4 linked regions of the Elephas maximus indicus genome follow. The protein of the gene in region 2 binds, or shares a complex with, the protein of the main gene of each other region. Links are inferred from orthologs where the notes say so. Each region holds a gene or a part of one and is shown on either strand. Other genes may lie near its edges. The genes, in order: KAT5, MEAF6, RUVBL1 and MORF4L2.

What was found.
Region 1: MEAF6 (region 2) and KAT5 share a complex: the UniProt entries of both Homo sapiens proteins name them as parts of the nuA4 histone acetyltransferase complex. The link is inferred for Elephas maximus indicus from reciprocal best matches to the Homo sapiens genes MEAF6 and KAT5.
Region 3: MEAF6 (region 2) and RUVBL1 share a complex: the UniProt entries of both Homo sapiens proteins name them as parts of the nuA4 histone acetyltransferase complex. The link is inferred for Elephas maximus indicus from reciprocal best matches to the Homo sapiens genes MEAF6 and RUVBL1.
Region 4: MEAF6 (region 2) and MORF4L2 share a complex: the UniProt entries of both Homo sapiens proteins name them as parts of the nuA4 histone acetyltransferase complex. The link is inferred for Elephas maximus indicus from reciprocal best matches to the Homo sapiens genes MEAF6 and MORF4L2.

The regions. Positions count from the first base shown.
Region 1 is NC_064825.1:128,857,515-128,864,927, forward strand, and holds the start of KAT5 (histone acetyltransferase KAT5), read left to right. Parts: upstream 1-4,400; 5' UTR 4,401-4,629; coding exon 4,630-4,807; intron 4,808-5,133; coding exon 5,134-5,202; intron 5,203-5,292; coding exon 5,293-5,429; intron 5,430-5,718; coding exon 5,719-5,874; intron 5,875-5,963; coding exon 5,964-6,038; intron 6,039-6,146; coding exon 6,147-6,221; intron 6,222-6,516; coding exon 6,517-6,765; intron 6,766-6,846; coding exon 6,847-6,936; intron 6,937-7,413. UniProt on the Homo sapiens protein: Catalytic subunit of the NuA4 histone acetyltransferase complex, a multiprotein complex involved in transcriptional activation of select genes principally by acetylation of nucleosomal histones H2A and H4.
Region 2 is NC_064821.1:79,102,327-79,109,754, reverse strand, and holds the start of MEAF6 (chromatin modification-related protein MEAF6), read left to right. Parts: upstream 1-4,422; 5' UTR 4,423-4,484; coding exon 4,485-4,574; intron 4,575-5,826; coding exon 5,827-5,942; intron 5,943-7,428.
Region 3 is NC_064838.1:42,481,018-42,487,998, forward strand, and holds the start of RUVBL1 (ruvB-like 1), read left to right. Parts: upstream 1-3,969; 5' UTR 3,970-4,071; coding exon 4,072-4,212; intron 4,213-6,981. UniProt on the Homo sapiens protein: Possesses single-stranded DNA-stimulated ATPase and ATP-dependent DNA helicase (3' to 5') activity; hexamerization is thought to be critical for ATP hydrolysis and adjacent subunits in the ring-like structure contribute to the ATPase activity.
Region 4 is NC_064846.1:54,508,343-54,516,316, forward strand, and holds the start of MORF4L2 (mortality factor 4-like protein 2), read left to right. Parts: upstream 1-4,956; 5' UTR 4,957-5,047; intron 5,048-5,937; exon of another isoform or gene 5,938-6,131; intron 6,132-6,348; exon of another isoform or gene 6,349-6,513; intron 6,514-7,837; 5' UTR 7,838-7,927; intron 7,928-7,974. UniProt on the Homo sapiens protein: Component of the NuA4 histone acetyltransferase complex which is involved in transcriptional activation of select genes principally by acetylation of nucleosomal histone H4 and H2A.

The sequences.
Region 1 (7,413 bases), on a different chromosome or scaffold from region 2:
TATTGTTTTATGGGCCTAATATTTGGCTGAAGGATGAACCTCAGGCGCGACTTTGGTACTGAGCTAAAAGGGTATCGGGGGCCATACTCTCACGGTTTCTCCAGTCTCTGTCAGACCAGTAAGTGTGTTCTTTTTTTGTGAGCTTGAATTTTGTTCTACATGTTTCTCCATCTCTGTCCAAGACCCTCTATTGTGATCCATGTCAGAGCAGTCAGTGGCAACAGCCAGGCACCATCTCATTGTGCTGGACTCAGTCTGGTGGAGGCTGTGGTAGTTGTGGCCCATTAGGCCTTTGGACCAATCTTTCTCTTGTGTCTTTAGTTTTGTTCATTCTCCCTTGCTCCGGACGGGGTGGGACCACTGGAGTATCTTAGATGGCCGCTCACAAGCTTTTAAGACCACAGACGCTACTCGCCAAAGTAGAATGTAGAACATTTTCTTTATAACGGACATGCCTTTTAGACCTCCTGAGTGGGCAGCGAGAGTCTGGAGTTCAGGAGAGGTCTGGGTTGTAAATAAAAATTTGAGAAGCCTCAGCCCATGGGTGATATTTAGGCATGAACTTGGGGATCACCAAAGAAGTGAATATGGATAAAAAGATGAAGTCCAGGGCTAAAACTGGCACATGTGAACTGTCTTGACCAGCTTATACACAGTACAAACTGTTGTGGAATTTCCCAAAAGGGAAATTTTAAATGATTGGTTGTCATTCACTTAGCCGGTAGGAGGCAGTTTGACTTGCTTTATTAAGTATTCACGTATGCTATGGCCTAACGAATGAAACTGTCTTTATCACAAGTTTTTAGTTTCAGTGAATGGCTAAGAGTTAAGTTGAGACAGGTAGGGGGAGCATTTTCTTTAACAGAATGTTTAGAGGTCAGAGACAGGAAGAGAATCCAGTAAGACGATGAGCAGCCGGGGAACTAGGAAGGAAATGAGGACGGTCCGGCGTCTGGAAGCCAAGAAAAGAGTGTTTCAAGGGAGAGGAGTGACCAATGATGTCCAATGTCACTAATAAGTAGACTGAGGAACGGCCATCGGATTGAGAGTGTGGAGGTCAACATGGAGTGGCAGCAACTGAAACTGTGTTTACCGCATACGTAGTGTGCACAGACATTTCCTGACCGTTATCAGCCAGTGAAAAATCAATTTCAACAGTCTTCTGCTTGGTATCCTGTTCTTGTCTTAGCCCCTCCAATCCAAGGACACAGCCACCAGGGTGGTCTTTCTAGAATGCAGATATAGTCATTCCCCATTAACATCTTCAATGTAAGTCAGGCCGGGGTGAATACATGGAAACTCGCAAGTATACAGATGCTCACTCTTTGCAGTGTTGTAGTAGCAGGAAATTGGACACAACTTGAATGTCCAACAACAGGAAATTGGTTATGGCAGCTAAGGTGTTTCTAAATGAGGAAACATTATATGGCCATTAAAATACTAGAGAATATTTAATGACAAGCATTCAATTTATATTGCTGAGTGAACAAGCTGATCGCAGAACAGTATACGTGGTAAGAATCTATTTCGTGTCAAACAGATATAAGCACAATAATCTAAAACAGGTTGGCAAACATTTTTTTGTGTAAAGGGATGTGTGGTGGTGTTACAAGAGCTTGTTGTCGTGTTGCTGTTTTTGGTAAATGCTAGGTAGCTAACATTTTAGGCTTTGTGTGCCTTACTATCTCAAACGCAACTACTCAGTTGTAGCACAAAAGAAGTCAGAGGCAAAATGTAAACAAATGAGTGTGACTGAGTTCCAGTAAGACAATTTACGGACACTGAAATTTGAAATTCATGTAATTTTCACGTGTGACAAAATAGCCTTCACTTTTCCCCCCATTTAAAAACGTAAAAACTATTCTTAACTCCTGGTTTGTAGTGGATTGGATTTGTCATAGTTTGCCAACCCCTTGTCTAGTAGATATTCAACCAAAACGCTCACTGTGAGCAAGGTTACAGTACCCACTCCCCCACCCCCACCTCTTACTATGTCTGTTTTTTTTATTAAGTTTGCACACATTCTATAGGCTAGTTATGACTTACCTAATTATTTAAACTTTCCCCAAAACTGCCTTTATCACAAGTTTCCAGTTTCAGTGACGGTCTGAGAGTTAAGTTTAAATAGGCGGGGAGGGCAGCATTTTCTTTAACAGAATGTTTAGAGGTCACAGACAGGAACTTAACCCAATAAAGACGATGAGCAGCCAGGGAACTACGAAGGAAACGAGGAGAGTCTGGCGTTCTGGAAGCCAAGAAAAGAGTGTTTCAAGGGAGACAAGTGACCAATGATGTCCAATGTCATCTTTCCCCCCAAGTATACGCATGACTCACCCTCTTGTTCCTTTAAATCTCTGCTCAAATAATACACTCCAGCCAGGCCTCCCCTGCACATCGTATTTTAAATTGTAACCTGCCTACCTGTATCCTACCCATGTATCCTGCTCATTGATTTTGCTTCCCATAGCACGCTAAATTTGCTTTTCTAACTATGTGTATCATTTACTATCTATACCACTCTTTTCCCTCTCAGTCCCCAAGAAGGTAAGCTCCATGAGGGCAGGATCTTTATTTTGTTCACTGATGTATTCCAAGTTCCGAGAATAGTGCCTAGCACATGGCAGGGCTCACTTAGTATTTGCTGGATGTATAAAAGGATTGAAAAAAAAAAACAACAACACAACCGGCTGCTGTCAAATGAATTCTGACTCACAGTGACTCTACAGGACAAAGTAGAACTGCCCCATAGTTCCCAAGGAATGCCTGGTGGGTTCGAACAGCTGACCTTTTCGTTAGCACCCGTAGCACTTAACCACTATGCTACCACGGTTTCCATGAAAGGGTAATAGATGTATTATTTAAAAAATCAGAACCTAATAGACAAAATCAAAGCAAAATTTTACTTGTGTGTGATATTAATGATATTGTTCGATAATTTCCACCTTCTGTTTGATCACCATTCTTTGGAGTGGGCACAAATATGGATCTCTTCCAGTCAGGTGGCCAGGTAGCTGTCTTCCAAATTTCTTGGCATGTATGAGCGCGCACTTCCAGCACTGCATCCTTCTGTTAGAACATCTCAATTGGTATTCTGTCAATTCCTGGAGCCTTCGCCAATGCCTTCAGGCAGCCTGGACTACTTTTTTCAGTACCATCAGTTCTTGACCATTTGCTACCTTCTGAAATGGCTGAACATCAACCAATTCTTTTGGGTATAGTGACTCTGTATGCTTCTTCCAACTTTTTTGATGCTTCCTGCACCATTCAATATATTTCCCATAGAATCCTTCAATATTGCAACTCAAGGCTTGAATTCTTTCCTTCAGTTCTTTCAGCTTAAGAAATGCTGAGCATATTCTTCCCTTTTGATTTTCTAACTTGAGGTCTTTGCACACTTCATTATAATACTTTCCTTTGTCTTCTCCAGCCTCCCTTTAAAATCTTCTGTTCAGCTATTCATTTCTTCCATTTGCTTTAGCTGCTCTATGTTCAAGTTTCAGAGTCTCTTCTGACATCCATTTTGGTCTTCTTCCTTTCCTTTTTAATGACCTCTTGCTTTCTTCATGCTGCAAAAAGACCTCTTTAAAGTGTTAAAAAGATGCCAGTTTAAGGATTAAGGTGTGCCTGGCCCAAGCCGTAGTGGTTAAGTGCTACGGCTGCTAACCAAAGGGTCAGCAGTTCGAATCTGCCTAGGCGCTCCTTGGAAACTCTATGGGGCAGTTCTACCCTGTCCTATAGGGTCGCTATGAGTCACAGTCGACTCCAAGACACTGGGTAAGTATGACCCAAGCCATATTTTCAATCACCTCACAGGCATGCATAAAGCTGGACAATGAATAAGGAAGATCAAAGAAGAATTGATGCCTTTAAATTATGGTGTTCGTGAAGAATTAAACATACTATGGACTGCCAAAAAATAATGTCTTGATAGCACAGCGAAAATGATTCTTAGAAGGGAGGATAGCGAGGCTTCATTTCACATACTTTGGATGTGTTATCAGGAGGGACCAGTCCCTGAAGAAGGACACCATGCTTAGTAGACGGTCAGCAAAAGACAGGAAGACCCCGAGCAAGATGGACCGACACACTCGCTGCAACCATGGGTTCAAGCATATTAAACTTGGCCCGGTATTCGGGCCCTGCAGAGTTTGAGCCCCACCCACTCATCCAGCCTCCCAAAGTACGTATTATTCTGTCCTGCAGGCCCGCCCCGCCGCACCGACCCCGCCCCCCACCGAGCACGCGCAGTTCACTCTCCGCGACTTCTCCTGCTGCCACCAGGAGACGCCCGTGCACGGCCACAGGTAAAAGCTCAAAACACTCGTCCCACGTGACCCGCGCCTCATCCACATGACCAGCGTCGCACCCGGTGGGCGTCACGTGACGGACTCAGTTTTCCTCCAATCATTGGGCACGGGATGGAGAGGCCACCCAGGAGCCGGCCCGAGGCTTAGAAAGCCCCTTTCTCCAGCCAGCTGAACGGGCCGGCTCCCTGCTTCCAGCCGGGCGGTAGCATCCCTCAAGGATCTCGCTTCTCAGGTGGCTTCGCGGAGCCCGGGCCTGCAGCTCCCTCAGCCCCGGAAGTGACGCCGCCCAGAGGAGCCGGAAGTGGCAGTGGAGGGAGGGAAGATGGCGGAGGTGGTGAGTCCGGTGCCTGGGGCGGGGCGGAGGGAGCCAGGGGAGGTGGGTAGGGCCCGAGGCCCCCCAGTAGCCGACCCTGGCGCCGCGCTGTCTCCCCAGGGGGAGATAATCGAGGGCTGCCGCCTGCCCGTTCTGCGGCGGAACCAGGACAACGAGGATGAGTGGCGTGAGTGACGTCGGGAGGCGGGGCTAAACAACCTGAGGGCGAGGGGCGGGTCGGATCAACCGAACCCCCGGGAGGGGGAGGGGCCACTGGAATCTTGGGGCGGGCGGGGCGCAGGCACTCCGAAGGAGGGGCGTGGCGTGTAGCTGCTTGAGATGGACGGGGCGGGGCTTGGAGAAGGGGTGCCATTTGGAGACTAAAGGGGACTTGGGTGGGAGCTTCCAAGTGCTGGGACTAGGGGATCCGGGCTGGGGGTGGAGTTCAGGTCGTGGCAGGGTGGAGCTTCGTGGCCGGGCCCTCTAAGGCTCCTGCCTGTGCTATTCCCGCAGCCCTGGCCGAGATCCTCAGCGTGAAGGACATCAGTGGCCGGAAGCTTTTTTATGTTCACTACATTGACTGTGAGTTCTGGGACCGGGTGAGGTGGGGCTGCGGGTAGGGCTGGGGAGCAGCCTCTGGCATCCCTTCCTGAGCCATCCCCATTGCTGCAGTCAACAAACGTCTGGATGAATGGGTGACCCACGAGCGGCTGGACTTAAAGAAGATCCAGTTTCCCAAGAAAGAGGCCAAGACCCCCACCAAGAACGGGCTTCCTGGGTCCCGCCCCGGCTCTCCAGAGAGAGAGGTGGTGAGTAGGTCACCTGCTTCTCCTCTTCTCTCCTGCCTCCTACTGCTCTTGTCTCTTGGCCTCAGGGGCTCCTGGATGGGCAGGAGGCAGTAAGCCTCTCACCCTGGCTTCAGCCTGCAAAGGACGGGGCCACATTGCAGTCATAGCTTCCAGAATCCAGTGGCTATTTCTATGCCCTTGAGAGGGCAGAGGGTGGGGTTTGATCACTTGGTGCTGAGGGCCCCCTCCTCCCCTGCCCCATTCCACCACCATGGCAACCCAGAGGAAGACCCTGGACCTATTTCTACAGCCGGCCTCCGCCCAGGCCAGCGGGAAGACCTTGCCAATCCCGGTCCAGATCACACTCCGCTTCAACCTGCCCAAGGAGCGGGAGGCCATCCCCGGTGGCGAGCCCGACCAGCCGCTCTCCTCCAGCTCCTGCCTGCAGCCCAATCACCGCTCTACGGTACCCTCAGCAATTCCAGGGACCTTGCTTTACTCTCAGGTCCCACGTTCTCTACCTTCTGACCCACCTTTCTTGGTTTCTCTCTGCAGAAACGGAAGGTGGAGGTGGTTTCACCAGCAACTCCGGTGCCCAGCGAGACAGCCCCAGCCTCAGTTTTTCCCCAGGTGAGTACCCCAAACTATCCCTTTTTCCTTTTCTCTCTTTTATCGTTTGGTAGCCCTTTTAAGGTTATGTCACATTCGGCTCTTCTATTCCTACTGTTTCATTTGCAGAATGGATCAGCCCGTAGGGCAGTGGCCGCTCAGCCAGGACGGAAGCGGAAATCAAATTGTTTGGGCACTGATGAGGTGGGTCTGGGGAGCAGAGGAAGAGGAAAGCTAGGGGTAAGGGAGGGCATGTGGGCAGGGGGAGTTTAGTGCCTAGTTTAAAAAGAAACAAGGGAGGGCTAGGTGGCAGTGGTGTCTGATATCTGCAGCCAGGTGTAGAGCATGTTTCAGACCAGTCATTTGGTGATTTCAGGGTCTCAGTTTCTTCGTTTGGAAAGTGGGATTATAGTACTTTTTTATAGTGTTGCTGTGGAAGCTGTAGTGTCCTGCTTGAGTCATCTCTCGTAACCTGGTGTTTTCTACTGGCCCTGGGCAGGACTCCCAGGACAGCTCAGATGGAATTCCATCGGCACCACGCATGACTGGTAGCCTGGTGTCCGACCGGAGTCACGACGACATAGTCACCCGGATGAAAAACATCGAGTGCATTGAGCTGGGCCGGCACCGCCTCAAGCCGTGGTACTTCTCCCCGTACCCACAAGAGCTCACCACGTTGCCTGTCCTCTATCTCTGCGAGTTCTGCCTCAAGTATGGCCGGAGTCTCAAGTGTCTGCAGCGTCACTTGGTATGAGGGGCCCCAGGAGGCTGCTCTCCCAGCACCTCGTCCTGCCCCCACTCCTGCTTCTGACCCTCCTTTCTTCCCCAGACCAAGTGCGACCTGCGACACCCCCCAGGCAACGAGATTTACCGCAAGGGCACCATCTCCTTTTTTGAGATTGATGGCCGCAAGAATAAGGTCAGCAACTGAGGAGCAGTGGGGTGTCCTTGGAGCTGGTGGCCTGGGACACAGGAAGTTGAGCAGTTTCTTCCTGCTTAGGAAAACACTCACCAGTCTGGCCAACATGTTGGTTCAGCCCATTTTTATTGAGTACTAGTAGTGCTGGGATGTACTAGGATGACCAGAAACTAGACAGTCTCTGCTGAGACCCCGTGGCCCATGGGAAAGTCCTGCCAATGGCCTGTGACATCCCAGAGTGACAAGTGTCATGAGTCCAAGGGTGGGTTACCAGGACCCTAAGGAGGTAGTCCACAAAGCTTCACAGTGGTGATCTTTGACGTGAGAGGATTCTGAGCAGTGAGATGCTGAAAGGCAGGCCTGCTGTACAAGGATGGTGTGTGTGAAAAGCTGAAAGGCAGGGAAGATAGGAAGGTGCAAGGCTCTTAGAAGGGACAGAGTTTAGGTGGTGGAAACAAGGTCAGTAGGGGTAGCAGG
Region 2 (7,428 bases):
GGTGACCTTCAGGAGTGACTTTAGTACTGAGCAAAAAGTGTCTGGGGGCCATATTCTCAGGGTTTCTCCAGTCTCTGTCAGACCAGTAAATCCGGTCTTTTCTTGTGAGTCAGAATTTTGTTCTACTTTTTTCTCCAGCTCTGTCCAGGACCCTCTATTGTGATCCCTGCTAGAGCAGTCGGTGGTGGCAGCCGGGCATCACCTAGTTGTGTTGGACTCAGTCTGGTGGAGGCTGTGGTAGTTATGGTCCCTTCTGTCTTTGGTTTTCTTCATTCTCCTTTGCTCCTGATGGGATGAGACCAGTGGAGTATCTTAGATGGCTGCTCACAAGCTTTTAAGACCCCAGACGGTACTCACCAAAGTAGAATGTAGAACATTTTCTTTAAAAACTTTGTTATGCCAATTGAGCTTGATGTTCCCCAAGACTGTGGTCCCCAGCCCTCAGCCCAGTAATTTGGTCCCTCAGGGGATTTGGATGTGTCTATGAAGGTTCCAAGACCTTGCTTTGGTCAAGTTGTGCTGACTTCCCCAGAATTGTGTACTGTCTTACCCGCTACCAAAGTTACCACTCATCTATTGTCTAGTTTTGGAAACCCTGGTGGCATGGTGGTTAAGTGCTATGGGTGTTAACCAAAAGGTCAGCAGTTCAAATTCTCCAGGTGTCTCTTGGAAACTCTATGGGGTAGTTCTACTCTGTCCTATAGGGTAGTTATGAGTTGGAATCTACTCGATTACAACGGGTTTGATTTTTTTAATTGTCTAGTTAGTGTTTTTCCCACCTCAGGGCTCCCTTCCTAGTAATAAAGATCATTTCTTTCTGTGTGTAAACCTTTTCATGAGTCTTTATAATAGCAGCCTCATACAGTATTTGTCCTTTTGTGATTGACTTATTTCACTCAGTATAATGCCCTCCAGATTCATCTATGTTGTGAGATGTTTTGTAGATTCATCATTGTTCTTTATTGTTGCACAGTACTCTATTGTGTGTATGTGCCATAATTCTATCCATTCATCTGCTGACGGGCACTTAGGTTGTTTCCATCTTTTTGCTATTGTGAACAATCATTGTTTGATTTCTTGACTGCCCCTTCCATGGGTGTTGATTGTAGATCCAAGTAAAATGAAGTCCTTGACAAATTCAATATTTTCTCCGTTTGTCATGATGTTGTTTATTGGTCCAGTTGTGAGGATTTTTGTTTTCTTTATGTGGAAGCGTAATCCATACTGAAGGCTGTAGTCTTTGATCTTCATCAGTAGGTGCTTAAGTCCCCTTCACTTTCAGCACGCAAGGTTGTGTCCTCTGCATATTACAGGTTGTTAATAAGTCTTCTTCCAATCCAATCCAGTATAGTTCATATACTTCTCAGATTATTTGCTCAGCATACAGGTTGAATAATATCATGAAAGGATACAACCCTGACATGCAGCCTTCCTGATTTTGAACTATGCAGAATCCCCTCATTCTGTTTGAACGACTGCCTCTTAGTCTATGTTCAGGTTCTGCATGTGCACAATTAAGTGTTCTGGAATTCCCATTCTTCGCAATGTTATCCATAATTGGTTAGGATCCACACAGTTGAATGCCTTGACATAGTGAATAAAACACAGGTATTCTCTGCTTTCAGCCAAGATCCATCTGACATCAGCAACATCTTTTGTTTTACCTCCTCTTCTGAATCCGGCCTGTAAATACACTGCTGCATCCATTTTTTAATCATCTTCAGCAAAATTTTACTTGCGTGTAATATTAATGATACTGTTCGATAATTTATGCATTCTGCTGGATTACATTTCTTTGCAATGGGACAAATATGGATCTCTTCCTGTTGGTTGGCCAGGTAGCTGTCTTCCAAATTTCTTGGCATAGACAAGTGCTTCCAGCGTTGCATCCGTTTGGTGAAATATCTCAATTTGTATTCTGTCAGTTCCCAGATCCTTGTTTTTCACCAATGCTTTCAGCGCAGCTTGAACTTCTTCCTTCAATACCATTGGTTCTTGATCATATGCTACCTCCTGAAATGGTTGAATGTCAACCAGTGCTTTTTGGTACAGTGACTCTGTGTATTCCTTCCATCTTCTTTCGCTGCTTCCTGTTTTGTTCAGTATTTTGCCCATAGAATCCTTCAATATAGCAACTTGAGGCTTCAGTTTTTCCTTCAGTTCTTTCAGCTTGAGAAGTGCCAAGCATGTTCTTCCCTTTTGGTTTTCTAACTCCAGGTCTTTGCATTTTTATTATAATACTTAGAAATCTTTTCAGCTCTTTTACTTCATCATTTCTTCCATTTGCTTTAGCTACTCGATGTTCAACAGCAAGTTTCAGAGTCTCTTCTGACATCCATTTTGATTTTTTCTTTCTAATGACCTTTTGCTTTCTTCATGTGTCCTTTATGTCATCCCAAATTCGTCTGGTCTTTGATCATTAGTGTTCAATGCTTCAAATTTATTCTTGATATGGTCTATAAATTTGGGTGGGATATCCTCAAGGTTGGATTTGGCTTTCATGAACCTGTTTTAATTTTCTTCAGCTTCAACTGAACTCGTTTATGAGCAATTGATGGTCTGTTCTGCAATCAGCCCCTGTCCTCATTATGACTGATAATATTGAGATTTCCCATTGTCTCTTTCCACAGATGTTGCTGACTTGATTCCTGTGTATTTCATACAGCGAGGTCCAGGTGTATAGTTGCTGTTTATGTTATTGAAAAAAGGTATTTCCAATGAATAGGTCATTGGTCTTGCAAAATTCTATCATGCAATCTCCAGCGTCATTTCTATCACCAAGATCCTATTTTCCAGCTACTGATCCTTCTGTTTCCAACTTTGACATTCCAATCATGAGTAACAATGCATCTTGATTGTATGTTTGATCAATTTCAGACTGCTGAAGTTGGAAAAAATTCTCAATTTTTTCATCTTTGGCATTAATGGTTGGTGTGTAAATTTGAGTAATAGTCATATTAACTAGTCTTTCTTGAAGGCATATGATATTATCCTATCACTGACAGCATTGTACTTTAGGACAGATCTTGAATTTTTTTTTTTATTATGAATGCAAAGCTGTGCTTCAATTTGTCATTCCTGGCATAGCAGAGCATATGACTGCCTGATTCCAAATAATCAATACCAGTCCATTTCAGCTCACCAATCCCTAGGATATCTGTCATCAAGCATTCCATTTCATTTCTGACAACTTTTAATTTTCCTGGATTCATACTTCATACATTTCATGTTCCGATTACTAATGGATGTTTGCAGCTGTTTCTTCTTTGAGTCATGCCACATCACCAAATGAAAGTCCGGAAAGCTTTACTCTGTCCAGGTCATTAAGGTTTACTCTACTTTGAGGAGGCAACCTTCCCAGTTGTATTTTGAGTACCTTCTGACCTGAGGGGCTCATCTTCCAGCACTGTATCAGACAATGTTTTGCCCATTCATAAGGTTTTCACTGGCAAAGTTTTTTTTTAGAAGTAGATTGCCAAGTCCTTCTTTCTAGTCTGTCTTAGTCTGGAACCTGTGCTGAAACCTGTCCACCATGGGTGACCCTGCTGGTATTTGAATATCAGTGGCATAGCTTTCAGCATCACGGCAACAAGCAAGCCACCACAGTAGGACACACTGACAGATGAGTGGTGTACTGTATTATGTATGTTCTATTACTACCTCCATTTTACAGATGAGGATGCTGAGACAGTGAAATTTAGTTACCTGCCAGAGGTGGCACAGCTTATGAGTGGACAGGTAAGATTTTCAACCAGGTAGTTCTGGCTCCAGTTTGTGCTCCCTACATAATACTTGTTTCTCTAAAAGGGTAACAGGGCAGCCATTGAAAGATTTTAACCACAAGAATGACATCGGATTCCATTTTGAAAGATCACCCTGGCCTCACTGTGGACAATGGATTGAAGGAAGCTAAGAGTGGAAGTAAGGAGGCTATTGGAAAAATGTAGTCAAAAATAGGGAGGGCCTGGATGAAATGGGGAGGTAGCAGAGGCGATAGACATGTGAGTGGATTTGGGAGCTCTTCCAGGGTCCACAGGGCTTGGTTTTTGGATCAGATTAGGGGGTAAAGGGAAGGATGATACCCCGGTTTCCAATTCTGGCAACAGGAAGGAGAGTGAAAATCATTCACTAAGGTGAGGAACACTGGAGCAGACTTAAGTTTGGCTTGGGACGTAGTCACCTTGTGGTATCTCTAAACCCCAGTTGTCAACTGACGGGTAGAGCTGCGGCTAGGAGAACGACCAGAAGAAGCCCGGACCCCTGGACCCTTCCAAGCTGGGTTTGCGAGCGCCAAAGGGCCAGAGCACCCCAGGGCCAGAGCACCCGGCGCCGTGGCGCGCGGCTCCGGAAGCCGCGCGCGCAGGCGCAGTGCAGCGGCGGGCGCCCCCTCGCGGGCCGGCCGCGGCGCGCAGGGACCGCCCCCAGCCTCCCGCCGCCGCCGCCGCCGCCGCCGCTGCCGCCGCCGCCGCCCGCCTCTGCCCAACATGGCGATGCACAACAAGGCGGCGCCGCCGCAGATCCCGGACACCCGGCGGGAGCTGGCCGAGCTGGTGAAGCGGAAGCAGGAGCTGGCGGTGAGGGACTAGGGCCGGGAGCGCCCAGGTTGAGGCTTCGCGCCTGCCCCCGCCTCCGGGTCCCAGGCCAGCCGCGCCAGGCCGTTACTCCGGGGACGCAGCGCGGCGGGACGAGTCCCGGGACCTGGGACCCAGCTGCGCATTCCGCGGCCTGCGGCGGCTCCATTTCCCGGTTGCGCGGGTCCGGAGCTGGGCGCCGGGGCCGGGCCTCGGGGCCCGGGGGCGGGGCGCGGAAGCCGGGGAGGGGGAGGGGGAAGAGGAAGGAGGGGGGCGTGGAAGAAGGAAGCGGCCGGGGCTGGGGGAGGGTGCGTGGGACTCGAGAAAAGGCGAGTGTCGGTGAGCTCTGGGGGTGAACGCGGTGTGTCCGTGGCCCTTGGAGGGGCGAGGGGGGCGGGCGTCCCCTTGATGTTTGAGGAGCGGGGGGCGGGCGTGCCGGTGGGCTGTTGAGTGGTTGGTTCGGGCTTGTCCGTGGGCTTTGAGGGGGATAGGGTACGAGGCACATGTGGGAAGGACACCCAGTCTGGCCTTAGGACGATGATAGGGGGTGTGACCTTTTGGGGACTAGGAGTAGATCTGTTGGATGGGATTTTTGATGGGCAAGGGTTTGGTTTGTTTGGGAACGTTTGGAAGGTGACAGATGAGGGGAGACTCCGGCTAGGGAATTGGGAGTTGTGATATTCATCCAGGGTCCCCTGAGCCTTGGTGGATAAGACACTCCTCCCCGCGTTTTGGATTGGGCATGGGGGAGGCTCATCTCACCTGCAGCTGCCCTTCCAGGTTTCCATAGCAACCGGCAGCCTAGTCCTGGCAGCCTAGTGGGCTGGCGGCCTTTCAGAGCCTGCGGGGAGGGGAGGCGTTGGCGCTAGAAGGCTCTTCAGCCATCCTTCTCTCTGGTGATACCTTTTGTGCCTGAGAGAGGAGACTGCCCATGTTCTGCTTCAGCGGGGGTTTTTCACACCTGGGGTTCCATGAACCCTTTAATGTATATGCAGAATTAAGCATGTATATGCATTTTTCTGGGGACAGAGTCTGTATATTCCATTCTCTTCTCAGTGTGGTCCATTACCCCAAAAGGTCAAGACTGCCTTAGACCGTAACAATCTGCCCCTGCCATTATCCTCTTTCTCTCCACAAGGGTGTTTTACTGTAGTTGAGCTTAGGTTTATAAGTCTCATATCAAAATTTCGGTTTGGTCAGACTTAATGCGTGCTTTTAAAAGGCATTATCCATTTCCCTGTTTTTCATCTACCAGGAAACACTGGCAAACTTGGAAAGACAGATCTATGCTTTTGAAGGAAGCTACCTGGAAGACACTCAGATGTATGGCAATATTATTCGTGGCTGGGATCGGTATCTGACCAACCAGAAGTGAGTGTCAGCAGCTGTAGTGTTCTGTAATGTGCCCTAGTAATATTTGTTTTTAGGACTATATGTTTCTTGGTAGTAGCTTTGTGGGCAGGAGATCAGGACTTGAACTCTGGCTCAGCCTCACTGCCTCACTGAGTAACCTTGGACAGATTCTACATCTGTAAAACAGAGAAAGCCAGCCTATGGCACAGGGTTGTGTGCAGTGTAAATGAAATACAACATGGGGAATAGTGTTTTCCACGTTTTAATCAGTCATGAGTTCCACCTTCACAGCTTTTGCCATACCTGGGTGCACACTGTACCACTATTTATGTAATAATATTATTATTTAAAAATTTCCCAACTTTTCGAAAATTTTCAAATCTATAGAAAAGTTGACAGAATAGTACATAAGCACTGGCTACCCTCCACCTACATTCTAGCATGTTGCCACATTGGCTTTTTCTCTCTTTGTAACATATATAAACACATACCAGTACCAAAACGCCAAACCCATTGAGCTGATTCTGACTCATAGTGACCCTGTAGGACAGAGTAGAACTGCCCCATAGGGTTTCTAAGGAGTGGCTAGTAGATTAGAACTGCGGACCTTTTGGTTAGCAGTCGAGCTCTTAACCACTGTGCCACCAGGGCTTGAAATACATATCTATACATAATTTAAAACAACTTTTTTTATTTTGAAATAATTGGAGATTCACAGGAAGTTTCAAGATGGTAGAGGATGGTCTGGTGTACCTTCACCCAGTTTCCCCCAGCAGTTACATCTTATGCAGCTACATTATAATATCAAGACCAGAAACTGACATTGATATAATGTGTGTGTATAGTTCTGTAGATTCGTGTAACCACCAGCACAATCAAGATACAGAACTATTCCATCACCACAGAGATCTCCCTCATACTCCCTCTTTATCATCATACCCACTCCCTCCCCCGTACACTGTTTATTTCCTAAACCATTTGAAAGTTCAGTACAGATGTCATGGTATTTTGCCCATAAGTATGTCAGCATGTACTGCCTAAGACTAAGACTGTTTCTCCTACCTGGCTGCAATTACCTCACCTAGAAAATTAACATTATGTTAATAGTGTCATACACCGTCTTTATTTAAATTTCCAATCATCCCCCGAATGCATTGTTACTTTGTTTAGATCCTGAATCCAGTCAGTGTTTAGTCATTCCATTTGGTCATTGTGTCTATTTAGTCTGTTTTAATTTAGGAGAGTCTCTAACCCTTGGTTTTTGTTTGATGACATTGTCTTGTAGAATGCCCCACCTTCAGGATTTTTGTTACTGTGATCTCATGAGAAACTCATAAACATTCTTGGCAAAAATGCTGCATATAGGTGATGTTGTGTACCTCTTGTTTAAAAAAAAAAAAAGGCAAATCCCTTGCAGTAGAGTCGATTCCGACTCATAGTGACCCTATAGGACGGAGTAGAGCTGCCCCGTAGGGTTTCCAGGGAGCAGCTGCTGGATTTGAAC
Region 3 (6,981 bases), on a different chromosome or scaffold from region 2:
GGGGAATGATCAGGGAAAATGTATGAAAATACAGGAAAAAGAAGGTAATAGGTGGAGGTAGGCCTCTGAGAGGTGGAGGAAGTTCCAGGTTGTCGTCTGGAACCCAGTTAGTAGGGTTACTTTGGCCAGGAGGAAGGTCATACCTGCCTTTGAGACAGGATACAAGGAAAGTTCAGCAGTGCCTGGCACTTAGAAGCAGCTTAGGGTGGAGACTAGAAATTGTCTCCCAATCTACTTTTTCCCCTTTTACATAGGACTAGAATTTTTAGCTGGGCTCAAGTTGAAATAAAGACTGCATTTTCTAGCCTCCCTTGCATCTAGCTGTAGCCATTTGATCAAGTTCTGCCAATGGACTATGAGTAGATATGATGGTGCAACTTCAAGGTCAAGGGTAAACGGAAGGAACAAGTCCTCCATTTCCCCCATTCCTCATTCTTTCTGGCCCAAATACAGCCTTTTGGGGGAAGCTGGAACAACCATCTTGGATCACGAGATGGAAGGCATGTGTGGAGTGGTGCAGCAACAAGATAGAATGAGTATAGGTCCTTCATGATTGTGGAGCCAGCACATCAACTGGAAGGCCTTCCTGAACCTTACGTTTATGTTTAAGCTGCTATTGTTTTGGATCTGTTAGTGCAACAGAACTCATATCCTGAATAACGCAACCCTGGGCAGCTCTGAGGGCTCAGCTGAGGCCGGAAGCCATGACTGTGTAATGACTTCAGGGGGCCACTGGGTGATTTCCTCCAGCCATTCCCAGCAACCCCCTCAAGGAAGGGAGAAGACAGAGGTAGACTTGACATATGCTTGACAGTTCAAAGGGCAGGTGTGGCAGAAGTCAAGGCAAGGAGGGAGCAGAAGGGTTGGGAAGTGGATTGAAATGATGGAGTTTGGACTGGAGAAAATAGAGGTTGAGGGACTGGAAGTCAAAGAGCAAGGGTCATGGGAGTAAGGGAATGAAAGAGCTGGCAGGATTGGTTATCACATGGCACAATTTCTGGAACGTAATAGTCCACACACTTGCTTGTATATGTGTCATTGCACTCATCCGGATTTTCAGTGGCACTGGACAGAAATCTAACTCAAACAACCTTAGGCCCCAAAGTAAGTACCGTGTTACACTGCAAGTAAGGCAAGGCTGGATCCAGGGATGCAAAGGATTTTGTCCGGAATCCCTTTCTCTCAGCTTTGCTTTCCTCTCTCTTGTCTTCATTTTCAAGTTGGGTGTCTCCGTGAATTGGCAAAGACAGCTACTAGCCTGAAAACCCGTGTAGAAGAGAACATGTTTTTATATTTCCAGTAAGAGTGCTGGGATTTAGTGTCATTGAACCACTAGCTCACATTCCTGAATAGGGCCAGGGAGATGGGATACTCTGATAGTATCCCATCTGAAGCTGGGGCAGGTTGGGATCAGCCTACCCAAACTCCTTGGACAAAAAGTTGGGGAGGGGGGTTCCTAAAGAAAATTAGGGTACAGAGACCAGAACACAAGGTAATGGATGCTGGGTAGGCAGAAGTAACCTGTATCCACTACTGTGGGCTTCACCTGCTCTTCATATTCATTTACCTTGTGTATCTTAGGCTCCGGTCTGCCACATGGTCGTCTGTTGAAATGAAAATAAATGGTCTAACTCTGAAACCAGGTCTAGATCTTTTCACACTGGGAGGCAGAGATATGGGTTCTAGGCCTTGTGATTTGGGGCAAACCCAGGCCTCTCTTGGGTCCAAAAATGAGAATGCTAGTCCAGATCAGTGGTTTTCAATTTGTTGTCTAGGAGTAAATAGATGGAAAAGCTCTGGTGGAAGGGGGAGGAGGGCATGGAGCTATCTGCACTATCGGTCTTCCCCTTCCCCTCCCGTACTAGCCGAGAAAGAACTCTATAACTCTGGGGTCCCACTGGACCAGTGGTCCAAGGGATTCCTTTGAGCTCTAAAATTGAGCCTTAGTTCCACCAATATTTGACTGAAAGACAATCCTTCATTTTGCTTATTGACGCAGAGACAAAATTGGCGCTTAAAAGGATAAATGTAAAAAGATCTTCTCCCCCAACTGGACAATATGCAAAGAAGTAGTCTCACAGAGTACCTCACTCTGACTACTGCTTAGGGGAAAACTTCCTTCTCCAAAGGAACTGGTCCTCACTTAAGGGTAATGACTAGGAGTACAGCAATTAGACACTAAGCATCTTTGTGGGCTTTCTGGGGTGATATCCTTAGGGTTGCTGAATCACAGGCCAACAGTGACAAGCTCAGCCTTCCAAGGCCTCACCTTTGCAGTTTCAGGCTCTGAAAGTGCCAGAAGACCCCATTTGCTGGCAGAAACCATTACCAAGGGCCATAAAACCAAGTTTGTAAAATACATCCATCAAAATTGCATGAATTCAAGTGTGTGTGTGTGTGTGTGTGTGTGTGTGTGTATAGGAGGGGGAGAGGGAGGCTAGAACTTTATTTGAATTCATTCAAAGCCTTGATTGTAAGCCAGGTTGTATGCCAGGCACTGGGGTAAAATGATGGGCACACAAATGTGGTTTATACTCTCATAATGCTTAAGGTTTGGTGGCAGTGACAAATATTGACCCAATAATTATGCAAATAATTACAAACTTAGATTTGAAAATTATGAAGGAGAAGTACAAAGAGGTGTGAGATTTGGGGACTGCTACAGCTGAATTTGACTACAGCTCTCTTAAACTCAGGGAAGTGCTGCCCTTTTCCTGGACCTCAGTTTCCTCATCTGTAAAATGATGGCATACCATCTGCTTCTGAGGAAGTCTTACCCATTCTACAGGATTCAGCACTTCCCTGGGTCTCCAGGCTGTTCAGGAGCCCCTGCTCTGGGTTTGCATACCACCTGAGTTGTACCTGTCCCAGCACATCTCACTTCCCAAGCAGGGAGTAAAGTCCTTGGGTGTGATCTTGTATTTTGTCTTTATATCCCCAGTGCGTTGTAGTGTCTGGCTCACTGAAGGTGTTGAATGTCTGGTGCAGGTAGTGTTAATATCATTACGGAATTTGACAGGACATTCTCCCTGACCAATTGTCCTGGCTGAAGTAGCGGGGTGGGAAGAGGATTGCACAGGTTGAAATTCTGAAATCCTCAGCTGGAGTTCCAGTTCTGCCAATTATTTGCTGTGTTCTCGGGCAAGTTATTGGGGCTCTTTTAGCCTGAATCTTTTTCTGTATTAGGGGTGATACATCGCAGGGCTGCAGAGTTTTGCAAACTGCAAAATGTTACTCACCATCAACTTAATTTGAATAAAGGGGGAGGTGGAGGTGAGCAGAAGCAGAGGGAGACAATTTCACGGAGATGATCCTGAACAGAGATGCAAAGTAAAGTATGCATTACACCAGTTGCCATTGAGTAGACTCTGACTCATGGTAACCCCAAGTATGTCAGAGTAGAACTGTGCCCCATTAGATTTTCAATATAGGGTCGCTGTGAGTCGTGATAACTCAACTGCAATGGGTTTGTTTTTTGGTGGGATATTTAGGAAGCAGATAACCAGGCCTTTCTTCCCAGGAGCCTCTGGGTGGACTCAATTGCTACTCTTTTGGTTAGAAGCCCAGCGCTTAACCATTTGTGCATCTCAGGGGTTCCAAGCATGGATTAGGTGTCAGAAAACTGGATAGTAACCAAAAACTAAAGCTTAAAATCTGAGCCTCAATTTCTCTATCTCCAAAACGGGTACGAGCCTCGCATAAAGGTATGACGTTTAATTGCGACGCCGGGAGCCGAAAACCGCCAGCGACTACCGTACGCCGTGATAGGGTTACACGATTAGAACTGGCATCCGGGACCCAACTCCGGGTTCTTTGCACCTCCCGCCCCTGGCCTGGGCAGGAAGCGCCGACTGCCGGGGAACGCATCCAGCGACACAGCCGGAAGTGGATGGGCGGAGCCCCACGGGCAGCCCTGATGAGCCAATGGGAAGTAGAGGTGTATCCCACCTCCTCCAGTAGAGCGCCGACCAAGGCGGGCGCTTGCGAACCGCCCTAGTAACGGCCGCATGGTAACCCGAGCGCCTGGCGCGTGGTACTCGCTGCTGTTTTTCGACTCCCCGAGTCTGCAAGATGAAGATTGAGGAGGTGAAAAGTACCACGAAGACGCAGCGCATCGCCTCCCACAGCCACGTGAAGGGGCTGGGGTTGGACGAGAGTGGCTTGGCCAAGCAGGCGGCCTCGGGACTGGTGGGCCAGGAAAACGCGCGAGAGGTGTGGTCCGCGAGCCGGGGAGTAGACGGTGTTGAGCTGGGGGAGCTCAAGGGTTTGGGGGGCGCCTAAGGGGCTGGGCTGCGCGCTGAGGGTCTCGCCCGATATTTGCGTTAAGGGCTGTGGGTATAGGCTACGCGAATCAAGAGGGGCACGACACTGGGCTGGGAGAGGGACGGTCCCAGTAGAACCGGTAACAACTCTACAGGGGGACTGTTGAGTGTTAGATTCGACCCTTTGAAGCAGCACGTATTTGATTGAGCCACCTAATACGTGCCAGGTTCCATTCGTGACCCTGGGATACACCTGGAAACAAGATAGATAACGTTCCTGCTCCCGTGGAGCTTACAAGACGATAAACGTATAAACCAGTAAGCAAAAATTATTTTGGTAGGCAGAGGTCAGTTACTTCAGAGCTTCGTTGGCCATGGTGAGGAATTTGGATTTTATTGTGAATGCACTTGGAGGCTACGGATTTTTCTTAAGCGAGGAAGTGACTTTCCTTAAAAAAGTCCCTTTAGGTTCCTAAGGGCTGGGAGCTGAGGGAGGGAGTGGAAGTTATGGAGAGGAGCCATCTGGTTTATAAGCAAGCCCCTCCAGGCATCTCCTTTGACCATTATAACTAAGTCCACTTTTATTAAGTGGCTGTGATGCCAAAACCTTTCACTTAGCTCGTAATCACACACTATTCGAGCCCTTTGTTTTTTCTTCTTTTTTGGCAGATGGAAAAATTGAGGGCAGGAGAGGTCACTTCACCTATCCACTTGCCACTCAGCTTAGTAATGGTAAAGTTGAGATTGCACCCGAATGTATGTCTGACTCCCAAATCGGTGCTCTCTGATCACACAGCCCTCGTCTCAGCTTGCCTGCTCTAAGGTCATTGTCATGGCCTGGCAGCTACAAGAACCTGAACTTAAATATGAGGTTAAGAGGCTTGCTTCACAGCCTGATTGTGCTATAAAAGGGCCAAAGAAAAGCCTCTAGTTTCCATTTTGAGCATCATCTTTCCAAAAAGCAAACACTGACACGGTCAAGATGATTTTGAAACTTGCCTTTATCCAGCTTCAGCTTACTGAGGACTTGCTACTGCAAATAGCTAACATTTGTTGAGTACTTTCTATGTGCCAGGCGTTGTGCTGAGCAGTTTTATCTCCATTATCTTGTTTACCACTTCAAACCTAGTATTAATTGCCTTCCCTCCACTTTATTATGAAAAATTTCAGACAAAAAAGTTGGACGATTTGTACATTGAATACTATGTGCCTGAATTTTACAATTAGCATTTTACTATATTGCTTTTTCACACATCTGCCCATCCGTTCGTCTGTCCATCCACCAATCCATCTTTGTATTTCAAATAAGTTGCGGACATCTTTTAGCTTGTATGCCATTAACTATTAAGGACTCCGTTTTCAGAAAAGGAAATTGTGGTTCATAGAGGTAAATTATCTTGTCTGAGGTCACTACTAGTAAGTGGTAGAGCAAGGATTTAAACAAGTCTACCTTACTGCAGAATCCGTGCTCTTCACTGATGCATCATACCACTGTGACAGTAAGGACTAGTATTTATTACATACCCAGAACCTGGCTCATAGGGGCTCGGTATTTATTTATTGAATTAGTAGTTATCTGAAGACTTCTCTCAGCTACCTGGTCATATCAGCATCTTTCCTGGTGCTCAATGTCCACATCTGAAAAATGAGACCAGGTGATATTTTGAGGTTCTTCCAGTTCTTTTTAAATTTTAAGGTTCATTGAACATGTCTCACTGGAGAGAAACTGGAGCTTAAACTAAGGAAGATTAAATGGAAGAGGATCTAGTCTGTAAAGAAGAGTAGTATATACTCAGGATTTGGAAAGTCTTTCCCTTTTCTGTCTTTTTGAGTTTCCCAAAGAGCTCTGATGCTGAGGATTATGATATCACAGAATTCTGTGAACAGACCATAGTGGCTCTTTTATCGTCTTAGAAATACAGCATATGAAAAAGAGCTTCTAGGCTCTGTTAAGGGCACTGCCTTGCCAACTGAGCCAGAAATGGAATATAGCACACCCACACACATTCCTTGAACACATTTTTGGAGAGGACCAAGGTACTTCTCCATAGGCCATAGGGAAGAAAGAGACAAGAAGATGTGGACCCCATCCCAGGGAGCTACCTAGTGGTAGAGAAGAAAGGATGTGTTCTTGGGCCCTGTCAATACAGTACATGTGTGGTCACTGCCCAGAGAGAACTGTGGCCTTCCCTCAGACAAGGCAAATGAACCTTCTAGCCAGTCATATATTATGAATTCAGTGTGAGAAACCTGGTATCATGTAGTCCTTAGCACAAAACCAAAAACCAAACCTGTTGGAGCCGAATCAATTCTGACCTATAGCAACCCTACAGGGCAGAGTAGAACTGCCCCATAGAGATTCCAAGGAGCACCTGGTGGATTCAAACTGCTGACCTTTTGGTTAACAGCTGTAACTCTTAACCATTATGCCACCAGGTTTCCCCTTAGCATGAAGCCACCCTGTGAATGTGACTTTCCTACCTTTGCTCCTTTATAGTCAAATATTGTAAAATATATGATTGGTAGTCCATTTATAGAATATGTTTAAAGTGAACTAACACTAAGTGATAAAATAATTTACTCTTCAAGATTCAAAAGGCACTTGAAAGGAACTTGTGTCATAGGTTCAACTTCATATGCAGCGTTTCCATCTGCTGTGCAGTGTTCTGGGATGGTTTACTGATGGCCAGCTAGTAGTGTATGCCATTGATTCTTAACT
Region 4 (7,974 bases), on a different chromosome or scaffold from region 2:
TTACAAAAGGAGAGAAGAGCTAGAAAAGAACAGATACCCCTAAAAGGATAAAGCTTCCTCGTGACTATTCTCATCTTTTGTTCTATCTGCCTTGGGCTAGCAAACCAGTCTGATCCAGACAAATTTGCTGAACTGGTTTTATGAAATCCCTTTGGAATGAGGCAGGTATAAACAGATAAACAAAAAAATCCTTAGTAAAGAAATACCATTTTGCTTAGCCTTAAAGTATTAGGTTTTGTTTTTGACTTTTAAGTTGACCAAACATTCTTTTTAAAATCATCTAATAAGCTAGTCAGAACCAAATGAGAGAATATATATATCGAATTAACCTTTAGAATGGACATTTCTCTCCTACCCACAGCCATGCGACGTGTGTTAGTTATCTAGTGCGGCTATAACAGAAATTTATTTCTTCACAATTTAAGAGGCTAGAAGTCTGAATTCAGGGCACCGGCTCTAGGGGAAGGTTGTCTCTCTCTCTGTTGGCTCGGGGAAGATATTTGTCTCAGCTTCCATAAGCCCCGTGTTCCTAGGTTCCTTGGAGATCCTCGCATGTGTTTCTGTCATCCCCACTTTATGCTTGCTTGCTTCTGTGTCTAACCTGCTCTTTATATACCTCAAAACTCATTAGGTTTAAGACAAGCCCTACACTGATATGGTCTCATGAACATAACAAAGAAAACCCTATTCCCAAATGGGATTACATCCAGAGGTATAGGGGTTAGGATTCCCACACATATTTGGGGTTGGGGGACACAATTCAATCCGTAACAGGACACTGGCATTCCTCCCCACCCTCCAGAACAGATCAACACTGCCTTCCAGACCTTGGAAGGCTCTCTAGGCAAGACAAGCAAGGCCAGCAGATACTGATGGGCAGGCTGCACACTACACAAGGGTGTCCAACTGAGAGAGCACAAGTTGGGGCAGAAATTCATCCTTTGGTGAAGACTGCAACATCGCAGAGAAAGAAAAGCATTTTTTAAAGTATTTCACTGGAGTGGATACCTTTTTGCAATTTATCTGGAGCCAGGAGGCAGGCACATGGTTCTAACTAGCACAAAGGTATTGTATGAGCTAATGGTGGCCTTGAAGATAAACACAGGGTGCTTGGAGCCATTGAGTGTCCTGTGAAGGCTGAGACCATAAATAGCTCTGTCTGGCCTTGGGCCTTGGAGCCAAACAAACATTAACCAAAGCTATCTTTCCTTTCCAGTTGAAAGGGACTGTGAAGACAGTTGTTCAGCTGTAAATTCAAAAGGAAGAAGAGTAAGTTCTATCTTCCGAGGATCTACTAAGAATCGGGAATCTGCTGAAGCTTTTTCCTACAAGTAAGTGGAGGGTGCCGGATTGTATTCACTTTTGAGAGGGTAACATGGCATAATGGGGAAAGCATGGGCTTTGGAGTCAGATGAAGGAGCCCTGGTTGCCCAGTGGTTAAGCACTCAGCCACCCGCTCTGCAGGAGGAAGATGTGGCAGTCTGCTTTGGTAAAGATTGTAGCCTTGGAAACCCTATGGGGCAGTTCTACTCTGTTCTATAGGGTTGCTATAAGTTGAAATTGACTTTATGGCACTGGGTGGGTAGGTTTAAAGTCAGACAGAGAAATCTGAATCTTTGTCATTTACTATCTGAGCAACTTCAGGTAAGTATTTAACTTCTCTGGGCTTCAGTTAGGATTCACTAAGATAACAGATATCAAGAGCTGAGCCTAGTGCTGCCTGGCACGTAGGAGGCATTCAGTTCCCATGCCCTTCTCTGCTACCACCCTGACTCCAAAGTTAACTCATGTCATTCACACTCTTGGCCTTGAAACTTCTCCCAGTAAAGCATAAAGATGGGTCTGCTAGACAGACCTACTGGAGCAAGAGTCAGGAGATGTGGGCCCTGGTGCCAGACACATCCTGTTATAGTACTTTGGGGAAGTTACTCCTCTCAGCTGACCACCTTAATAAAACAGAACACCCCTAACACCTCCGAAAGAAAAAAGCAGAGGAAATCACTTTTCTTGGGCACTTGCCATGAGGAGTGCACTGTGCTAGGCCCTTTTGTTGTTGAGGAAACCCTTGTGGCACAGTGGTTAAGTGCTATGGCTGCTAACCAAAAGGTCGGCAGTTCAAATCCACCAGGCGCTCCTTGGAAACCCTGTGGGGCAGTTCTACTCTGTCCTATAGGGTCGCTATGAGTCGGAATTGACTCGACAGCAATGGGTTTTGGTTTTTGTTGTTGTCGTTAGCTGCTGCCCAGTCATTTTCAACTCATAATGACCCCATGTGACAGAGTAGAACTGACTCATAAGGTTTCCTAGGCTGTCACTATGAATTGGAATCAACTAGACAGCAACCCGTTTGTTTTTTTTTTATCTTTACCAGACCAGATCGCTAAGTCTTTTCTCCTGTGGAGCTGCTGGGTCGGTTCATACCGCCAACCTTTCGGTTAGCAGCTGAGCACTTAACTGTGACCCCACCAGGTCTCCTTAGTCCCTTTTACATACTTTATATTCTCTAAATCAGTGCTATCCAATAGAACTTTCTATGATGGTGGGAATGTTGTATATCTGCACTGTCTAATACAGCCATTGGCTACTGTGACTGAGGAACTAAAGTTTTTAGCTAATTCATGTAAATTTAAGTAGCCACATGTAGCTAGCGGCTACAACACTGGATAGTACAGCTCCCTGGGGGACATAAACATTTAAGCGCTTGACTTCTATCCAAAAGGTTGGCTGTTCAAACCCACTCAGAGATGCCTTGGAAGACAGGCCTGGAGATCTGCTTCCGAAAGATCACAGCCTTGAAAACCCTACGCAGCAGTTCTAGTCTGCACACATGGGGTCGCCATGAGTCGGAATTGACTCGACAACAACAACAAAGATTATGAAGCACGAATATTTTTTACCATTTAATCTATGGTAAAACTGAGACTCAGAAAAGTTAAAGAACTTGTTGAAAGTCACTTAAGTATTAAGTAATTAAACCAGATTCAAAACGTAGGAGTAGAAAGCTTAGTAGGGTAATAAGGTTAGATATACCTAGTATTATCTAGGTTCCACCATTTACAAATTGTATGACTGAGTAAAAAAATATCTGGAACTCACTGTCATCATCTATAAAATGATGACAGACCTCTTGTTGAAATTAATGGGTATAGATCTATATAGTGGGGTCCATACTAGGCTTTCGAGAACTTTTATTCCCTCAGCACTATGATTCCTCCCTTACACATGGAAGAGATTCAGACATAAACTAAAAAAGAAACAACTTCAGGGTAGACAGAGCATTTGGGAAATACAAAAGCAAGAAGGGAAACACTCATGAGCTTTTATGTGATATCCAATTATAGAATGGAGATGGAGAAGGGTATAAAATCATCAAAATATCTCCATTTAATTGATCTGCTTCCCTGCCCTTCCTTGTCTCTCTAGTTAACATTAGCCAAAGTAAGGAAGAGAGAAAGTATTTGTAATGTGTTTTGAGGCCCAGAGACAAGCTATAAATTGAACAATAATGTTAAGGGCTAGGATTGAGAGGCAGATACAGTTCAAATCCTGGTTCCCATATCTGTTTGTGCACTTGGGGAAATAATTTGACACCTCCTGACGGCACTGGGTTTTTTTTTTTACACATTAGTTCCTAATCCAGAGTGTCTCAATAAGCATAAAAAAATTAATTGTTTATTATCTTGCGTTAAATTCTGTAGCACCCTCTAGTGGTATGTGCAAAATAAGCATTGCATTTCTGCCCTCCAAAGCGCTGGTTCTCAAATTTTAGTGTGCATCTGAATAACCTGGACAGCTTCTAATAATACAGATTGCCAGGCCCCACCCCAAGAATTTTTGATTCTGTAGGTTTGAAGTGAGGAGGCCTGGTGGCTCAGTGGTTGAGTGATTGGCTGCTAACCAAAAGGTCGGTGGTTTGAACCCACCAGCAGTTCTGCGGTAGAAAAGACCTGGCTATCTGCTCCTGTAAAGATTTCAGCCTGGTAAACGCTATGGGGGCAGTTCTGTCTTAAAGGTTCTCTATGGGTCAGAATCGACTCAACGGCAGACAACAGGGCTGAGTGGGGCCTGACAATCCGAATTTCTAACAACTTCCCAGGTGATGCTAAAGCTGCTAGTTCAGGAAACATACTTTGAGAACCACTGCTCTAAACGACCCCGGACCGACATACACACATAATGTATATATGATTGATAACTCAAAGAGGAATGATTTTTGTTGTTGGATTTTGATTTTGTAGTACCCACCTAAAAGGGATTTTATGAGGAATAAATGAGAATATCCATGTGAGGTCAACACCGCATCTAAAATATAGAAAGCATGCAAAAAACTGAGAATCACAGAACATAAATCATTTGCCCAGAGTCACAGGGCTATAAAGTGGTGACATAGAGATTAAAAGGTCTCTGGCTCCAAAGACATAATAAAGTTTAGCAGTACCACTGCACATACACACGTGTGATAAAATTGTCATGAGAAAAGATCAGTTTTCAATGCCAGATCCAAGTTTTACCTCAGAGTTTTTAATCTATCTTTACGGACTAAACAGCCCTCTGTGTACTGTTTTGGGGGGTTGTTAACATTTGAGAAGAAGGTGAACAGAAAGGGTAGAATCTTCATCAGCATCAGTGCCTAGTATCATTCATCACTTCCCTAAAAAAAGAAGGCATGGAAGAAAGAAGACAGAGGAATGAGGAAGGAAAAAAAAATTTTAAGGGATGAGGTAAGAAGGAAAGAAACAAGAAAAGCATTTGGATCTTGGGCCATGGTCCCCTGCCTATTAGGGCCATTTACAGAGGTTGGCTTCATTTTCCCCCTAGAAACGAAAGAAAGATATACTCACTGGAGATTGGAGAGTTCAGCAAATCAGAAACACGGGAGGACAAAATCCCATAATTCCAGGGACCAAATAGCCAATCCTTTGCTAGGATTTGGCGACATCTAGTGGCCGACTTGAGAGGTATAAACCTCATCCAGAGAACTTTCTGGAAAATTAATTGTGTGTGTACTCGCTTGAAGGGCACTGTGCTTGGTGGTCAGGACAAAAAGGTAAGAGTTCCTCAGCCGCCACAGAAATTTACGGTCCTTCGTGAAGGGAGAGGCAGTCGTATATTGATTATCCCAGCAGAAAATTATATTTGTACTAGGGGAATTGCGTGCAACTTTGGGGACGAGCGGGGCTAGGGGGCGGGCAGGGAGAAAGGGGTGGGAATGGGAGAGAGGGGCAGGGAGCAGGGAGCTGTCCTGAGAAGGGGGGAAAAGGGACGGGGGACACAATGGAGAGGGGGAAAGGGCGCGAAGGGGGGGAAGGGAGAGAAGAGTCGAGGGATGGGCGGGAGGCGGGGGAAGGTAGGGGGAAGGGCGGGCGGGGATGGGAGGAGGATATTGGGGAATATGAAAGGAGCTGCCCCTTGGAGTTGCTAATAGAGGAACGGGAGGGTTTGGCTCTTGTGCAATGGGGAGATGTGATTTAGAGCAGGATTTTGGCACCGAGCAAAACGTGGAAGGGTCTAAAATTGAGTCAATAGGAGAAACCAAAATACTTCATATAACAGAGGCCCTTTGTTATTATCCGCTTGACTTATTTTCCTTTTTTTTAGAACAATTTTCAAACATACAAAAGTAGAGAACAATTGCTATAATAAACACCCACACACTTATTACCTAAATTTAACATAGTGCAGCTCACCTATAGGTAAACACACACACACTCACACCAACCCCACTCAGGGACACACACCGTGCCCCAAAGCTAAGGGCGCAGGCTGGCGCACACCCCCAGGCCACGCGAGCTCGCCTGCGCGCGCGCGCACACACACAGGCCCCAACGACACGCGCCCGAGCCACCCGCCGCCTCCACTCACACGCATATTAAAAACACCCCCGCCTCCCCCCCCCGAGTTGCGCAAGAGGTTGGGGGGCGTGGCCCCAGGTTTGACCTCGCGCTTCCCCACCGGCGGGAACCTTAGCTCATTTCCGCCGTCCCGTTTCCGCAGGCCACGTAGACACTTCCTTTCCCAGTGTGGCGGGGGGGACCCATAATGCCTCTCTAAAGAAAAAAAAAAAACCTTCTGGTCAAGGGAACTCTGGGTCGTGAAAATAGGCCACGTGAACACTGTGCTCTATAGACTTATGACCCAAAGGCTGTCGCGCTTTTGGAGGGTGGGCTAAGAACCTAAGAGGGCGAATGTGATTGGCTGCAGCTCACAGTAAAGAAGGAAGGTGATTGGTTTGCTCCGAGCCTTAACCGTGAAGAAGCAGGTTACTAGCACCCGCCTTTACTGCGGCTAAGTGTCACTGCTTACGTGGTAGTCCTCGTCCAATCATTTGGTTATAGAACATTCTAAAACTTAGACAAGACGAATGTGATTGGCTGAAGGGCATAAGCCCGCCTTTAGGATGACGTGTCTGCCTATGGATATCAGTTGCCAGAGAAACCTGGCTTTACTATGGCGGTTGGAGGAACGGCAGTGATCACACGTCGGCTGTTGGGAAGAGCTGGATTCTCGTTTCAGGTTTCGGGGTGGGGGTGGGGAGGAAGGGTTGGTGATTTCCCTTTATCCTGTGTATGTATAAGGTATATATATACACATATACAGACAGAATCAGCTACTGGCTTTACAATCGGTCAGAGCTGGTTCAAATTCCTGCTCGCCAACGCCCAGCTCGGGCAAGGCTCCGATTCTTTCTGTATCTCGGTTTCCATGTTTGTAAAATGGTGATAATAATAGTATCTACCTCAGAGACGTGTACGAGGGTTAAGTATGATAGTGCGTATAAGGCGCTCAATACGAAGCCTGGCTCTTGTAGATATTATTATTACTATGGAGATAAAGCCTCACATAACAGAATGAGAAAATATGTATTATGTAAATTCGCTCATTATAGTGCCTTCCCTGCCCATCAACTTCCCTCGAAGAAATTAGAGATGTAAGAGGCGTAATTGTTATCGATGAAACAATACGCCGAGATTTGCTTCGGAATAGGATTGAAATTTTCCAAATTGAAAAGTAAAAAAAAAAAAAGATTGAAAACGAGAGCGAGCTGGAGATCAACCACATGCGATGAGTAGGCCTTGTTTGGTTTCTGATTTGAACACAACTGTAAAACGTTGTTTAAGATACATAGGGAAAATTTGATCACCGACTCGATGTTTTATGGCTTTTAAGAAATTTATATCATTTTTTAGGCGTTATAATGATACTGTGGTTATGGTTTTAAATTTTCTACCTTGTAGCGATATCGACTAAAATATTCACAGATTAAATAATATAATGTCTGGGATTGGCTTCGAAATACGTTGACGACTAGGATTTGCTTCAAAATAATTTCTGCGAAGGGGAGAGCGGAGAGGGCTGTAGATAAAACAAAATTGGCCTGAAGTTAAAAATCGTTTAAGCTGACTGTTATTACTCTGTCTATCTTAGTGTATGTTTGAAATGTTCCATAATGAAATATAAAAAATCAGCTATTTGGTGCTTAAAAAATTGGAGGGGGGGCAGTGGGTGGGGTTATAGATGAAACAAGATGGCCTTCAGTTGGTAATTGAAGCTGGGTGATAGATTCGTGTGGGTTGGTGATACTATTCTATCTAAATTTTTGTCCATTTGATTTTTTTTCCTTCATAAAATGGTTTTTAAATATTAGTTTGTTTAAAAAATAGGTTAAATGTACATGATTTGAAAATATAACCACAAGAAAGAAAAAAATATTTGTGCATATTTATCAGCTTTGGTGTTCTTTGTGTGTGATAAAATGCATTGATTGATGGAAAAGAAAACCGTGGTCTGATATCTTTTTATTTTATGTCCTTTCCTGTCCCCTTCTTTGACCTTCTAGGTCATCATCAGAAAAGCTAAGTTAGTTGCACAGTAAGGATCAGAAGATCTGATCCTGATTACAGAACCATCCCTCATTACAGAATCTTGGGTAAGTGCTTCCCTTCTCCTGGCCTCAGTCCTCAAACAAGATAATAC